Linked DNA regions of Saccharomyces cerevisiae S288C. Changing the gene in region 1 together with any one later gene gives a genetic interaction. Each region holds a gene or a part of one and is shown in the gene's direction. Other genes may lie near its edges. The genes, in order: MGM101, PDB1, MIC19 and ISC1.

Region 1 (3,562 bases):
GGTTCAGAGGCAAATGGATGCTCTGATGATAGTTTATTGTTATGTTCGAACATAGATTTTTGAGTTTCAATCCATTTCTTCAAGAATGGTAATGGCTTAACAACCTTCGGAATATATACCTTCCGAACCTCGTCCAGGTTAACAATTTCATCAACAACCCAGTTATTTGAAGGATCAATAACTTTTTTGTTACCATTAATTTCTTGTTGTTGGAACCCCCAATCCGGTAACAACTCGTCGTTGTGAGTCCACAAAGCTACGGAGGTATCAACGTGGAAAAGACGGAAAGAAACCGTTTTACTCTTTAAAACGTGACCTTCATCTGATTTTTTCAGTGGTTGGAATGCAAAAAGTGTTTCAGGATATAATTCCCCATCACCTTCTTCTAAAGTTACTGTAGTGATTTCTTCATTGGTAGGGTAAAATGGGGAGGCGACATCATGGGCTAACAAGTAGGTATCGGTGGCTACATGTCTCAATCTTATATGCTGGTTCAATAGAACAGCTTGTCCTTTACCGACATCACTGCCATGGGGTGGTAACACTTCCCATTGATTGTTGAAGTCAGGATGCGTGTAACCAGTAACTTGTTGACCAGCGGATGAGATACGACCATCTTCATACCGTTGTGGGTAACGTGCCAAGTGAGAATGTAAGAATGCGTCAGTATCTTGATGTTTGATAGTGATAATATCAAAATAATTGACGGTTTTAGAGTCAACACTTAAGGGAGAGTCCTTAAGTGTTTCTTGAAATTCAGCAGACATAAATGCGTCGCCAGGACCTGAAGTATTCAAAACGGTGAAATGAACCCAGAACCAAAACAAGTAAATCACAAATGGAATCAAAACTAAACCATTCAGCCTTTTACTAAAATGTCTCATGAACTGCCTCAAGGACAAACCCGCCTTGATGTCCAGTAATTGCCATAAGTTGACCACAGCAGCAAAACCAATAGCGGAATATGTCATAACACCAACATATTTTGTGGAAATCACGAAGGATAAAGACAAACCAGTAGCGTGTAACCAAATATACCAACTCCATGTAAAAGGTTGACGCAATTGGCACTTGTAGAAACGAACGTAACAATACATAGTAGCAGCAATAGAAATAATCAAGATGGCATCCAGTAAAATCAGCCTAGTTTCTGTAACATGCGCAGTATCGATTGCAACCAAGAGAGATGCAAACGCACATGTAATAGCCCTGAAATTCAGTTCCTTCAAAGTGTTGAACATAATTGGTACAGTCAATGTGCCCAATATCGCGTTGAAAGAACGGTACGCGATATATGGAGCTGGATGAGTTTCATAAGAATACCCAATCTCATCAAACTTAAAGGAACCATCATAGCCACATAACCAACCAATGAAGGCAATCATCATCTTAGCAAAAGGGGGATGAACGTCAAAGAAATAAGACCTTTCTAAGTAATACGATGCAAATTTCCCGAAATGTACCTCATCAAAAACAACTTCTTTTGGATACCAGATCTTATAAAATCTAGCAGCAAACGCTAATAAGGTAACAATTGTTACCCAAAAGCTATAACGTGATTCCGGTTCCGGTAGTGGCTGCAAGAGCCAATGTTCAGCAACTTGTTCACATTTAGGCGCGGCCTTCGTGTACTTCAACGAAGGATCGTCTACGTCCTTAGTGGAAGGTGGTAACTTCCCATGGTTACGTTTTTTGGGCACAGACATCTGTACTTCTGTGGACTGTCAGAAAATATCTTGGTAAAATATGTATCGACAAACTTCTTAGTACAGTTAATATAGAAGTAAGGATTCGAGTGAGTAGTTTTGATAAAGCGCGTTTCATTATGCATATTTTTCATTTTTTATTTTTTTTGTCAAGAAATACACGAATAACATCACGAAATTTATCGACAGAATAATGGAAGAAACTATTTAAAAAGACGGTAGAGACTAAAAAAGGAAAGAAAGGACAAGTAGGAAGATCAGCGTACGATGAAAAGCATTTTCAAGGTTAGAGGATGTGTATCGCATGCTGCTCAATTTTGCCAAAAAAGAACCGTGGTGAGTACCGGCACTAGTAACACCGCAACAGCCGGTGCAGTGAGGAAAAGTTTCAACAGTACCGAAACCAAGCCTGTATTTGCAACAAAATCGGAAGCTGGCAATGGAAGCCACATGAAGGAATATTCAAGCGGCATTAACTCTAAACTCGGCGGGACCCCTTTGGAAACCCGCAGCACCGCCGATGATTCTTTGAACAATAGTTATAAGCAAGTCAAGGGAGACATTGACTGGTATACTTCATGGTATGGCCTAGGTATGAAGCCCTTTGAAGCAAAAGTGCAAAAGGATCTAATCGAGCCTCTGGACCCTAAGGATATAGAAATCAAGCCAGATGGTTTGATATACTTGCCTGAAATTAAATACCGTAGAATACTGAACAAAGCTTTTGGCGCAGGCGGTTGGGGGCTAGTGCCAAGATCACAAACAATAGTGACATCCAAGCTGGTCACTAGGGAGTACGGTCTTATTTGCCATGGTCAATTGATCAGTGTGGCAAGAGGCGAACAAGACTATTTCAACGAAGCCGGCATACCAACTGCTACAGAAGGTTGCAAAAGTAATGCATTAATGAGGTGTTGCAAAGATCTCGGCGTCGGTTCTGAATTATGGGACCCTGTTTTCATAAAGAAATTCAAAGTGGATCATTGTACTGAGAAGTTTGTGGAACATGTTACCACCAAGAGAAAGAAGAAAATTTGGTTAAGAAAGGACAGACAAGTTGAATATCCTTATAAATAGTCAATATGCGAACCATATAAGCTAATTTTAGTAAGTATATATATTCCAATACAATCACACACACACACACACACACACACACACACACATACGCATATATTGTGGTAGTGCGTAGTGTCAGTACGTCTTATCATACGCCTTCTATTTCAGGGTTAGCGTATTTTTACTATCAATATTACAATACGGATATATATACACACACCTAATATATATATTATACGTTATATTACTGCCAGTCGAAAAAGGAAGATACGATGTATTATTTTAAAATTCAATTTCTAATAAACATTAATGGAGATATACAAAAGAAGAAAATAATTAAGTTGTTATGAAATTTATAAACCTTGTTGAGCTCTTCTTCTGTCACGTTCTTCAGCAATAGACAACTTGATACCCTTACCCTTTGGCAAAGAAATGTAAGGCTTACCTTGTTCACCGATGACGAAGACATTGTTCAATCTAGTGACGAAAGTGTTGTCCAAGGAGTCCTTGATGTGAACTAAATCGAAACCACCATCGTGTCTTTCCTTGTGAACGATAGTACCGATACGACCCAAGTTACGACCACCAGTAACGTAAACCAACTTACCGGCATCGAACTTGATGAAATCAGTAATCTTACCAGAGGCCAAGTCGATCTTAACAGTGTCATTGACCTTGATGTTTGGGTCTGGGTATCTGATAGTTCTACCATCGTGGGTAACAACGTATGGAACACCCTTCTTACCTAATTGAACCTTCTTGACCTTACCCAACTTGTAAGAAGCTTCTTCATCGGT
Region 2 (3,647 bases), on another chromosome or scaffold:
TTGGCGCGCCCTTGAATCCCAATTATAAGGAAAAGGAGTTCAATTTTTATTTGAATGACCTGAAATCTAAGGCGATTTGCGTCCCAAAGGGTACCACAAAGTTACAGAGTTCTGAAATTCTAAAATCTGCCTCCACGTTTGGATGTTTTATCGTAGAGCTGGCCTTCGATGCGACCAGGTTTAGGGTAGAGTATGATATATACTCTCCAGAGGACAACTACAAAAGGGTTATTTACCGGTCTTTGAACAACGCCAAATTTGTCAACACAAATCCCGTTAAATTCCCTGGGTTTGCCCGTTCCAGTGACGTTGCCCTGATTTTGCATACCAGTGGTACCACCTCCACTCCAAAAACGGTGCCTTTGTTACATTTGAACATTGTGAGAAGCACGTTGAACATTGCTAACACTTACAAGCTAACGCCCTTGGACAGATCTTATGTCGTGATGCCTCTTTTCCACGTCCATGGGTTAATTGGTGTTTTACTTTCCACTTTTAGAACTCAGGGTTCTGTTGTGGTTCCCGATGGATTCCATCCAAAGTTATTCTGGGACCAATTTGTTAAGTACAACTGTAATTGGTTCAGTTGCGTTCCCACAATAAGCATGATTATGCTGAACATGCCCAAACCAAACCCTTTCCCACACATTAGATTCATCAGATCGTGTTCTTCTGCTTTGGCTCCAGCAACGTTCCATAAGCTGGAGAAGGAATTCAATGCACCTGTCTTGGAGGCCTATGCGATGACCGAAGCATCACATCAAATGACCTCAAACAATCTGCCTCCAGGAAAGAGAAAGCCTGGTACTGTGGGCCAGCCACAAGGAGTCACCGTCGTCATTCTAGATGACAATGACAATGTCTTGCCCCCGGGCAAAGTCGGCGAAGTTTCCATCAGAGGCGAAAACGTCACTTTGGGGTATGCTAATAATCCAAAAGCTAACAAGGAGAACTTCACCAAGAGAGAGAACTATTTCAGAACCGGTGACCAAGGTTATTTCGACCCTGAGGGGTTTTTGGTCCTTACAGGCAGAATCAAAGAGCTTATCAACAGGGGTGGTGAAAAGATTTCACCCATTGAGCTCGACGGCATTATGCTATCGCATCCAAAGATCGATGAAGCCGTTGCATTTGGTGTTCCCGACGATATGTACGGCCAAGTAGTTCAAGCCGCCATTGTTTTGAAGAAGGGAGAAAAAATGACCTACGAAGAACTGGTGAACTTCTTAAAGAAGCACCTAGCCTCTTTCAAAATTCCAACCAAGGTGTACTTTGTTGATAAGCTACCAAAAACCGCTACAGGTAAAATCCAGAGAAGAGTTATCGCAGAAACTTTTGCTAAGAGCAGCAGAAATAAGAGTAAGTTGTAGGCAGTATCCTGTACAATTTTATGCTCTCTGAAAGCTTCTATCTGGCACCCGTTTATATACGCCAATACTTATGTATTTTATCTATCTAATGAAACCACAGTATTTATCATGCCTAAGCTGATTCTTTTTCGTCGCGGCTGTTTCCGGGGTCTGTTTTCCGAGACTTCGAAGTGGGAGAACATGCAAAAGAGACGAGTCTTCAACTAAGAAGTTCTCCGTCATTAAAAGTCATGCGTTTGCACGTTTGCAATAAAAAGAGGTGTATCTACATATACAGGTTAACGATTGCAACAGCGACTCTTGATATTATCTCTGTCAAGTTTCTTCCTTTTGTTAGACTAATTTAGTATCATTTACACACTCGGACGTTAAATTCCGCCTCCCTCATAACAGTTCCTGTGTTTGTTCATTGATAATCGATCGCAGTTTAGTAAGTTCTTTTACTTTTGCAATAATTTTGTTCAACATGTTTTCCAGACTGCCAACATCATTGGCCAGAAATGTTGCACGTCGTGCCCCAACTTCTTTTGTAAGACCCTCTGCAGCAGCAGCAGCATTGAGATTCTCATCAACAAAGACGATGACCGTCAGAGAGGCCTTGAATAGTGCCATGGCGGAAGAATTGGACCGTGATGATGATGTCTTCCTTATTGGTGAAGAAGTTGCACAATATAACGGGGCTTATAAGGTGTCAAAGGGTTTATTGGACAGGTTCGGTGAACGTCGTGTGGTTGACACACCTATTACCGAATACGGGTTCACAGGTTTGGCCGTTGGTGCCGCTTTGAAGGGTTTGAAGCCAATTGTAGAGTTTATGTCGTTCAATTTCTCTATGCAAGCTATCGATCATGTTGTCAATTCCGCTGCAAAGACTCACTACATGTCTGGTGGTACTCAAAAATGTCAAATGGTCTTCAGAGGTCCTAATGGTGCTGCAGTGGGTGTTGGTGCTCAACATTCACAGGACTTTTCTCCTTGGTACGGTTCCATTCCAGGGTTAAAGGTCCTTGTCCCTTATTCTGCTGAAGATGCTAGGGGTTTGTTAAAGGCCGCCATCAGAGATCCAAACCCTGTTGTATTTTTAGAGAACGAATTGTTGTACGGTGAATCTTTTGAAATCTCAGAAGAAGCTTTATCCCCTGAGTTCACCTTGCCATACAAGGCTAAGATCGAAAGAGAAGGTACCGATATTTCCATTGTTACGTACACAAGAAACGTTCAGTTTTCTTTGGAAGCCGCTGAAATTCTACAAAAGAAATATGGTGTCTCTGCAGAAGTTATCAACTTGCGTTCTATTAGACCTTTAGATACTGAAGCTATCATCAAAACTGTCAAGAAGACAAACCACTTGATTACTGTTGAATCCACTTTCCCATCATTTGGTGTTGGTGCTGAAATTGTCGCCCAAGTTATGGAGTCTGAAGCCTTTGATTACTTGGATGCTCCAATCCAAAGAGTTACTGGTGCCGATGTTCCAACACCTTACGCTAAAGAATTAGAAGATTTCGCTTTCCCTGATACTCCAACCATCGTTAAAGCTGTCAAAGAAGTCTTGTCAATTGAATAAATAAACTTCAATCCAATAGGAAGGAGAGAAAGAAGGAGATAGGGAACTTTTTTCCCTGTACCCTACACTTTCTACCCTCTTCGCGGAAATAGTACTAATGAGAAAAACATAAATAATATTTTGCTAATCAAGACATGTATGGCGTACTGGTTATTAGTAGATATATAACTGCAAATACACACATACATACAATGTATATATTTTGTTTTTACAAAATTGAATGAGATAAGTACTGTGCACATTGAATGAGTTCCTGTTTCATGGTTAGAATACGCACATATTTATTTTCTTTTTTTTCTTTTCGACGACAGGCTGAATGAAAGAAAGAAAATAAAGATACTCTGGCATGCGAAAATAAGTGAAAAATAAATCGGCTATAATGCGTAAGCTACTGTGGGAAGCAGAAGCAAGACCTAAACGTTTGGTGAGGCAGTATAATATACCATAGTTATAGGGGGATAAAACAAAAGTAGGCATGGAACCTAAGCGAAAGAGCGGGTCACTAGCCAAGCATGATTTGCCGCAATTTTATCTTTTAATTATGTTATATTTGGCTCAAGGCATACCTGTAGGATTGGCCTTCGGTACCGTACCGTTTCTACTGAAATCTTTAGCAAAGGAGACCTCGTTTACATCACTGGGAATTTTCTCTATGGCTACATATCCATATTCTTTAAAGATCATATGGTCACCAATAGTAGACTCACTGT
Region 3 (3,270 bases), on another chromosome or scaffold:
GATAAAAGTAGCATACTATTTACTCTATCTTATTTTTATTTTCTATATACTAGTCTATCAGACTCAGACGTCAACGATGTGGAATACGGATGGAATCATTAAATAGTAGCAAGAAGTACTTTATTCTTATTTTTCAAATTGCGGCGCGCCAACAAAACGCGTACAAAAAAAGCAGATTGGATAGTACTTTATTCTTGTTATTTTGTCATTGGAAAGTATAAGCTGGTTGTGGATTACTCTTCACACGATGTGCCTGTTTTTTGTAGGCGGGCTTGTACTTTCTGGGGAGCATGCTGTGTATGTTGTAGGTCTGTGGCAATGTTTGTCGGGAGTGTTCGCTGTTACCATGAGTTGTCTGTGAGTAGTAGCGATTGTAATTGTGGTTGTATCCTACTGGTCTTCTTCGGGAATACCAAGGAATGAAAGAGTTATGAGGAACCTCACTTTGATCCTGGTAATTATTTGGTTGTTGTAGTTGATATTGGCGGGGCTCTGTGAGACAATGATTTTTTTTTGAATATATTTTAAAGCAATCGGCTGATTGGGTAGCCTCAACGCCAAATAACCAAGGAGGGTCGTAGTTATCTTGTGAATGGCTTGAGATTCCCTCATAATATAAAATATTTGCCTTTTTTTTTTCAGTAGGCATTTCCACATTTTCTTGCTTTGCAGGTAAGTCGGTTATATTGATTTCATCCAAAGATAAGGATTTTTGATTTTCAACATGCCTTCTAGAAAATATTTGTTTACCATTCAACTTTGGAGCGAAGAAACTCACCAAACCTGCTTGCTTCAATGGAGATTTGATTTCAGGCGGTGGTTCATCTTGATTTGTTACCGCCAGTTTATCTTGATTGGGATCTAAGGTCCTTGGTAGATCATTAAAAAGACTTGTGATGTCATACACAGATTGGTCTGTGCCCTTAGTTGTTTGTGGATAATTTTCGCCAAGGGAACTTGATGTTTGACTCGTTCCATATAGTTTGAGAATACTGTCTACGTTCTCTATACTAGCTTCTTTAGCTATGTTTTCTGTCTGACTGCGCAGACGTATCAAACCTAAAACTGAGAAAATGCACGCCAATAACGAGCAGAGGGAACAGGGAACAGTTAGCCAGCCACACCAAGTCGTATAAGGATGAAATTGTAACAGGATCACGGTGCATGCAAAGTAACAGGATCACGGTGCATGCAAAAATAGTTGATAAAAGTGTCAATATGTGTAATATAGCGTTGGAAGTAATAAGTGAGACATTAGTTCCTCCAGTCTGAAAAAGAAAAATAATAACCAAGGGAAGTGCAAAAGAAATGAAAGTCAAACATGTAGCAACCGGTATCGAAATCAAAAGTCCTCCTATTGTATGTCTTGCCTTAGGACTCAGCCACCAACGTTCAAGAGAAGGGCCAGGTAATATTTCTTTCGAGGTGTTATATATTAAACGTACTCGAGAGCAGGAAAAAGAATTCAAAGTTTTACAGTAACCAAAGGTACCATATGAAACTCCAGCAGCTTGAGCCAGCCCCCAGTTTCTAATTATTGGTGAAGTTAAACAACATATCATAAAGCCAGAAAAAGAGATTAATTGTAGGAAAGAGGAAAACAATAAAATCAATTTATAATTTAGCATCAATTATTGAATATGGTACCAAAAAAAAAAAATTAGCAAAAAAAGGCAATTTTCTCACCTTCTTGTAATTATTACGCGTAAGGACAGATCATAAAAGTGTATTTCATCCTCAATCATCAATTAAATAATTTATTTATTAACATTCATATATATTTATATTTTCGTTTGCAATTTCGCAATTTTAATATGTCACAAAAAAAGCGCCCACAGAATTATCAAGAAGACCAACCAAATCAATAATAAAATTCGGCAAATAACATTATTAGATTTTTCATGAGATTTAAGAAATACTTGTTCTGTTGTTTAACTGATGGTTTATTACTTATATTTAAATATTGAAAGCTGCAAGATTTAAAAAAATATCTCCCGGGGGCGAGTCGAACGCCCGATCTCAAGATTTCGTAGTGGTAAATTACAGTCTTGCGCCTTAAACCAACTTGGCTACCGAGAGTCGTTTTTGTTGTAAAAAACTACGAATATTCGTGGTATGTCGCATATATATATATTTCTTCTTCCAATGAGACGCAGAGGAAAAAACAAGTGAGGAGGAACATTTCAAAGAGATTGCTAATCAAAAAAAAATTCAAGAACAAAAACAAGGTGGTATATCGACTAATACAGAGTCAATCATGGGTTCAAACACTTCCAAAGTGGGTGCTGGTGCAGAAAAACAACAAGTCTATACTCCGCTAACACAGATCGATTTTTCACAGTCTTTGGTTTCTCAATTGGATTCATCGAAGGAATCAGACTATGTCACCAAGCAAAATGCAGAAAAGTTCATTGAGAAGAAGGTTTCACAAAGGCTATCTAACCTAGAAGTTGAAACGTTAAAGAAGTTTGAAGATACTTTGAACAATTCACTATTATCAGACGACGACAAGGATGCCGTTGATGGAATATCATCAAGTTCATTGAATAATCAAATCGAGTCGTTGAACAAGAAACTAACATTATTTGATCAATTAGAGTTACAAAAGTTGGAGAAATATGGGGGTGCCAAAGGTAAATCTGATAAAAAAACCGACAACGGCAGCATTTCTATAAAGGCAAAATTGACTGAGTGTCTTTTGGCCAATAAGGGCAAGCCATTGAATTGTTACGAAGAGATGGAAGAATTCAAGAAGCTCGTTATGGGTTGAATAAGAAAAAGTATACATAAACTCGACCAAAAAGAATTCGCCATTTCATGTATATAAAATGCATTTTTATCGATTGGCGGATGAACGTAAAAGGGAGAGAAATATTTTTATGTGTATGTAAAAAAATGTATATGTATATTCCGAAAAAACTATTAATTTTGAAAAAATGAAAAATGGACTTACAGACCAAATCCTTTATACATTAAGATCAGTGCACTATCACTTTCGCCCCCACCGGCTAAAGATTCAATTTTTTCCTTTTCAACAACGCTAACTTTATCATCATTAAATTTGTACCATTTATTTTCGTCCAGTTCGTCCCTTATGAAAGCTTGATAGTGTCCAGACTCAGAATTGGCACCTTGATGTGTAATGACACCGATCAAGTTATAAACACAAGATGGGTTTTCACCTTTTTCCAAGTTTGGAGGAAAATGTTTCTTATACTCTTCGAGCCATTGATCTTTTTCACTTTCGTTAAGAGCCACTTGTGTCTCATA
Region 4 (3,892 bases), on another chromosome or scaffold:
GTACTTACCTGGGTTCTTCAAAAAGTGAACAAATTCCATGATTTCCTGTTTAGCTTCATCACAACCGGCAACATTTTTAAATGAAATTTTAATGTCTGTTTCCTTATTGAAGAGCTTTGCTCTGGATTTTCCAACATTAAACATGCCGCCGAGGCCTCCTCCACCACCACCATTGGCATTTGGTGGTGAACTATTTATTTTTCTGGTTATGAAGTAAAGGCCACCAAGCAGAATGATGGTGGGCAGGAAGGGGAACAAAAATGTGAAGGGAGAAGATCTCTCAATGTATTTGATGGGGATACGATCCCGAGGAGGAATGTTCAAGAGGTCCTGGATCTGGTCCATCTGTTCCTCAAAAATATCTACTGAACCAATGGTGAACGATACAACTTGCTTTGTATTGACTAATTCGGCCTCTACGAGAAACTTATTAACGACGTAAATCTTGGACACAAGACCCTTCTCCAGGTATTTTGTTTTGAAATCCTGGAAAGTCAAGACGCGGTTAGAGTCGTCTCCTGAGTTGTTACTGGAAGGTGTGAGCAAAGTAAATATAATTGTGAATCCGATGGTCAAAAACATCGTATTAGCAAATTCCTTAGATCTGAAGTATTCTGATAATGAACCAAACTCATTTCTTTTGTCTTTGCCATCTTCTTTATTGCTATTATTATCTTTATTACCATTGTTCTTGCCCTCACCCTCTTTGTTTGGCCTATTTTCATTTAACCTTGTCCATGAGATATGGAAGGAACGTATTTGGGTAGAACGGTGTATTGTGTTTCTGGTTGCCAGACCAGATAACGTCTGCAAACGCTGGTGAACTGGCATGCGCGAGCGAAGCACTGGCTTCACTGTTGATATGCGGCTAGCTTTACCAAATGAGAGTGATGTCAATGAGCGTGGCGCACCCCTTGCATATCGTTGCCACATCATCATCACTTAGTATATTATAAAATAAGTGGATGATGCCTTTATTTGAAGACTGCGTTAATCTCCTTTAATATAGAATGGGTCCTTGTAAAAGTTATGTATAGACAGTAAGAACCAATTTATTCCTCATCTAAATCATAGGCCCAGAATAAACTGAACAGATGCGTATAAAGGCGTTATAAAGATGCCAGAAGCATATCGCGGGCCACGACTAAAAATGCCGCGAGGTCGCCCTGGACGGTAAGCACGTGCTCAAGTGTTGCCCGACTCTTGGGGTCCAGCGCCGGGTGAGAGTTTCCGATCACGTGGTCTCCGTGCATCGCGACTTCGATCCAGCAGCGTGAATCATCGCCGAATACGAAACGTACGTCATGCACATCGCTGGCTCCGGGTAGTACACGAAGCTGCAACAGCCGTTCGTACAGTGCGACCTCTGCGGCATCGTTACCCGACTGCGCAGCCCAACGTGCGCGTAATTGGACACACTCTTTACCACGCTGTTGCAGCAGCGAGTCCAGCTCGCGCGATTGGGCTGCTAAGGTCGACTGCCGTCTAGATAACTCAGATTCACGCTCGTGATAGCTTCTCCACTGCTCTCTGGTGGTATTTGTAGCTTGTTGGGCCGCATGTATTTGTTGCTGCAGAGCGGTGCGCTGGGTGGCAAGCCGTTGCAGTTCATCTATGAGATGTTGGTGTTGGTTATGTAATTGACGCATTTCCGCTTGGAACTGTTGCAGCTGTTGGCGCGCGTGGTTTTGCTGACGTGCCAGTACCTGGGCCACGTCCTTTTGGAACCCGTCCATCCGGCGCTCAAGGTCCGAAAATGCGTCTATGCTGGCCATTCTTGTATGTGTGTATGTGTTGTATACGTATGAGCGGTTTTAATTGAATCGGCTTAGCCTGTTTTTGTTTTTGTTTTTGTTTTGTTTTGGTTTGGTTTGATTTATTTTGGTTTGGCTTAAATCTTCGAGGAAATTTGCGCTTTCCGCGTAAAAAGGGAAAAAAAGCAGATATATGTACAACAGAAAAGACAGAGATGTTCACGAGAGGAAGGAAGATGGTCAATCTGAGTTTGAAGCACTGAACGGGACCAACGCAATTATGTCCGATAATAGTAAAGCGTATTCCATAAAGTTTCTGACCTTCAATACATGGGGGTTAAAATACGTCTCCAAACACCGTAAAGAAAGACTCAGAGCAATTGCTGATAAATTGGCGGGCCACTCAATGCTTACGCCAATATCTGACGAGTTGTTGCCCAATGGTGGAGATAGTAATGAAAACGAAGATTACGACGTGATTGCCTTACAAGAAATCTGGTGTGTGGAAGACTGGAAGTATCTAGCTTCTGCGTGTGCCTCCAAGTATCCGTATCAGCGTTTGTTCCATTCTGGTATTCTGACGGGGCCTGGGTTGGCCATACTGTCCAAGGTCCCGATAGAGTCGACCTTTCTTTACCGGTTCCCGATAAACGGTAGACCGAGTGCGGTGTTCCGTGGCGACTGGTACGTAGGGAAATCTATAGCAATCACCGTATTGAACACAGGAACCCGCCCCATTGCAATAATGAACAGTCACATGCACGCCCCATACGCCAAGCAGGGTGATGCCGCCTACTTGTGCCACAGATCTTGTCAGGCCTGGGATTTCAGCAGGCTCATTAAGCTTTACAGGCAGGCCGGTTATGCGGTGATTGTGGTGGGTGACTTAAACTCCAGACCGGGCTCACTGCCCCACAAATTTCTCACGCAGGAGGCCGGCCTGGTCGACTCCTGGGAGCAATTGCATGGGAAGCAAGACTTGGCGGTGATCGCTCGTCTGTCTCCATTGCAACAATTGCTTAAGGGCTGTACCACGTGCGATTCGCTGCTCAACACATGGAGGGCCCAAAGACAACCCGATGAGGCATGCAGGTTGGATTATGCTCTTATCGACCCTGATTTCTTGCAAACAGTAGACGCAGGTGTCAGGTTCACTGAACGGATCCCTCACCTGGACTGCAGTGTCTCTGACCATTTTGCATACTCATGCACCCTTAACATCGTCCCACAGGGCACAGAGTCCCGTCCATCCACCTCCGTTAAGCGTGCGAAGACTCATGATAGAGAGCTGATCTTGCAGAGATACTCCAACTACGAAACCATGATAGAATGCATCCACACGTACTTGAAGACAGCCCAAAGACAGAAATTTTTCCGTGGCCTACATTTCTGGGCCTCAATACTTCTCCTAATAGCGTCGTTGGTCGTGACAACGTTTACTGCAAACAAGGCAGGCTGGTCCTCCATCTTCTGGGTCCTTTTCGCTATTGCTGTCTCCATCTCGGGCACCATCGACGGTGCCATCTCCTTCTTGTTTGGCAGGTCTGAAATCAGAGCCCTCATCGAAGTCGAACAAGAGGTTCTGGACGCGGAGCACCACCTGCAAACTTTCTTGAGCGAGAAATGATATTATCGATTTTCTTTAGCATATGTAAAAAAATTACTGATATTATATAATGTGTGTAAATTTCGTCAATAGATGCAAAGCAATCACGGAGAAGATGAAACCGACAGATAGGAACAATACGACAAGGGAGTCGACTCTGAATCCATTGGCTTCGTCCGTATATAACTTCAAAATTGAGCTTGAAGACCCACCGTAACCAGCCTGTCTGGTGGAAGTGGGCGTTTGTTTTGCTTGCTTTTCCTTAATGGATTGTGCCTGTCTTCTCTTCTGCAAGATACGCTGACCTCCTGGTGGAACTGAAGCTGCCATTCTTATGATACTGTTGATCGATAATACCACCTGTTTTATGCTTTGCGCCCCTTACCTTTTCTCACACGCACATATATCTACTCTCTCATACCTCTTATATCTAAAATGTCTCTTTTGGCCAGTTAGTAACTGAATGAAAAAGTGAAAATGGAGGAAAAAAAAAAAGACGAAATCCAAAAGGCTAAGGAAACGGGTAACCCGT

What was found.
Region 2: mutations in MGM101 (region 1) and PDB1 together harm fitness more than expected from each alone (negative genetic interaction), as found in Saccharomyces cerevisiae (2 studies listed by BioGRID).
Region 3: mutations in MGM101 (region 1) and MIC19 together harm fitness more than expected from each alone (negative genetic interaction), as found in Saccharomyces cerevisiae (2 studies listed by BioGRID).
Region 4: mutations in MGM101 (region 1) and ISC1 together harm fitness less than expected from each alone (positive genetic interaction), as found in Saccharomyces cerevisiae (2 studies listed by BioGRID).

Annotation. Positions count from the first base shown.
Region 1 is NC_001142.9:698,909-702,470, forward strand, and holds MGM101 (Mgm101p), read left to right. Parts: upstream 1-1,973; coding exon 1,974-2,783; downstream 2,784-3,562. Other genes in the region: PMT4 (dolichyl-phosphate-mannose-protein mannosyltransferase), read right to left, coding at 1-1,706; 40S ribosomal protein eS4 RPS4A, read right to left, coding at 3,119-3,562. UniProt on the Saccharomyces cerevisiae protein: Performs an essential function in the repair of oxidatively damaged mtDNA that is required for the maintenance of the mitochondrial genome. Binds to DNA.
Region 2 is NC_001134.8:664,443-668,089, reverse strand, and holds PDB1 (pyruvate dehydrogenase (acetyl-transferring) subunit E1 beta), read left to right. Parts: upstream 1-1,836; coding exon 1,837-2,937; downstream 2,938-3,647. Other genes in the region: PCS60 (Pcs60p), read left to right, coding at 1-1,370; YBR221W-A (uncharacterized protein), read right to left, coding at 1,448-1,552; YBR220C (uncharacterized protein), read left to right, coding at 3,413-3,647. UniProt on the Saccharomyces cerevisiae protein: The pyruvate dehydrogenase complex catalyzes the overall conversion of pyruvate to acetyl-CoA and CO(2).
Region 3 is NC_001138.5:166,246-169,515, reverse strand, and holds MIC19 (Mic19p), read left to right. Parts: upstream 1-2,257; coding exon 2,258-2,770; downstream 2,771-3,270. Other genes in the region: YFR012W-A (uncharacterized protein), read right to left, coding at 206-292; DCV1 (Dcv1p), read right to left, coding at 1,020-1,628; ubiquitin-specific protease UBP6, read right to left, coding at 2,950-3,270.
Region 4 is NC_001137.3:190,850-194,741, forward strand, and holds ISC1 (inositol phosphosphingolipid phospholipase), read left to right. Parts: upstream 1-1,947; coding exon 1,948-3,381; downstream 3,382-3,892. Other genes in the region: AAA family ATPase AFG3, read right to left, coding at 1-939; kinetochore-associated Ndc80 complex subunit SPC25, read right to left, coding at 1,110-1,775; Arf family guanine nucleotide exchange factor SBH2, read right to left, coding at 3,424-3,690. UniProt on the Saccharomyces cerevisiae protein: Responsible for the hydrolysis of the phosphosphingolipids (IPS), inositol phosphorylceramide (IPC), mannosylinositol phosphorylceramide (MIPC), and mannosyldiinositol phosphorylceramide (M(IP)2C).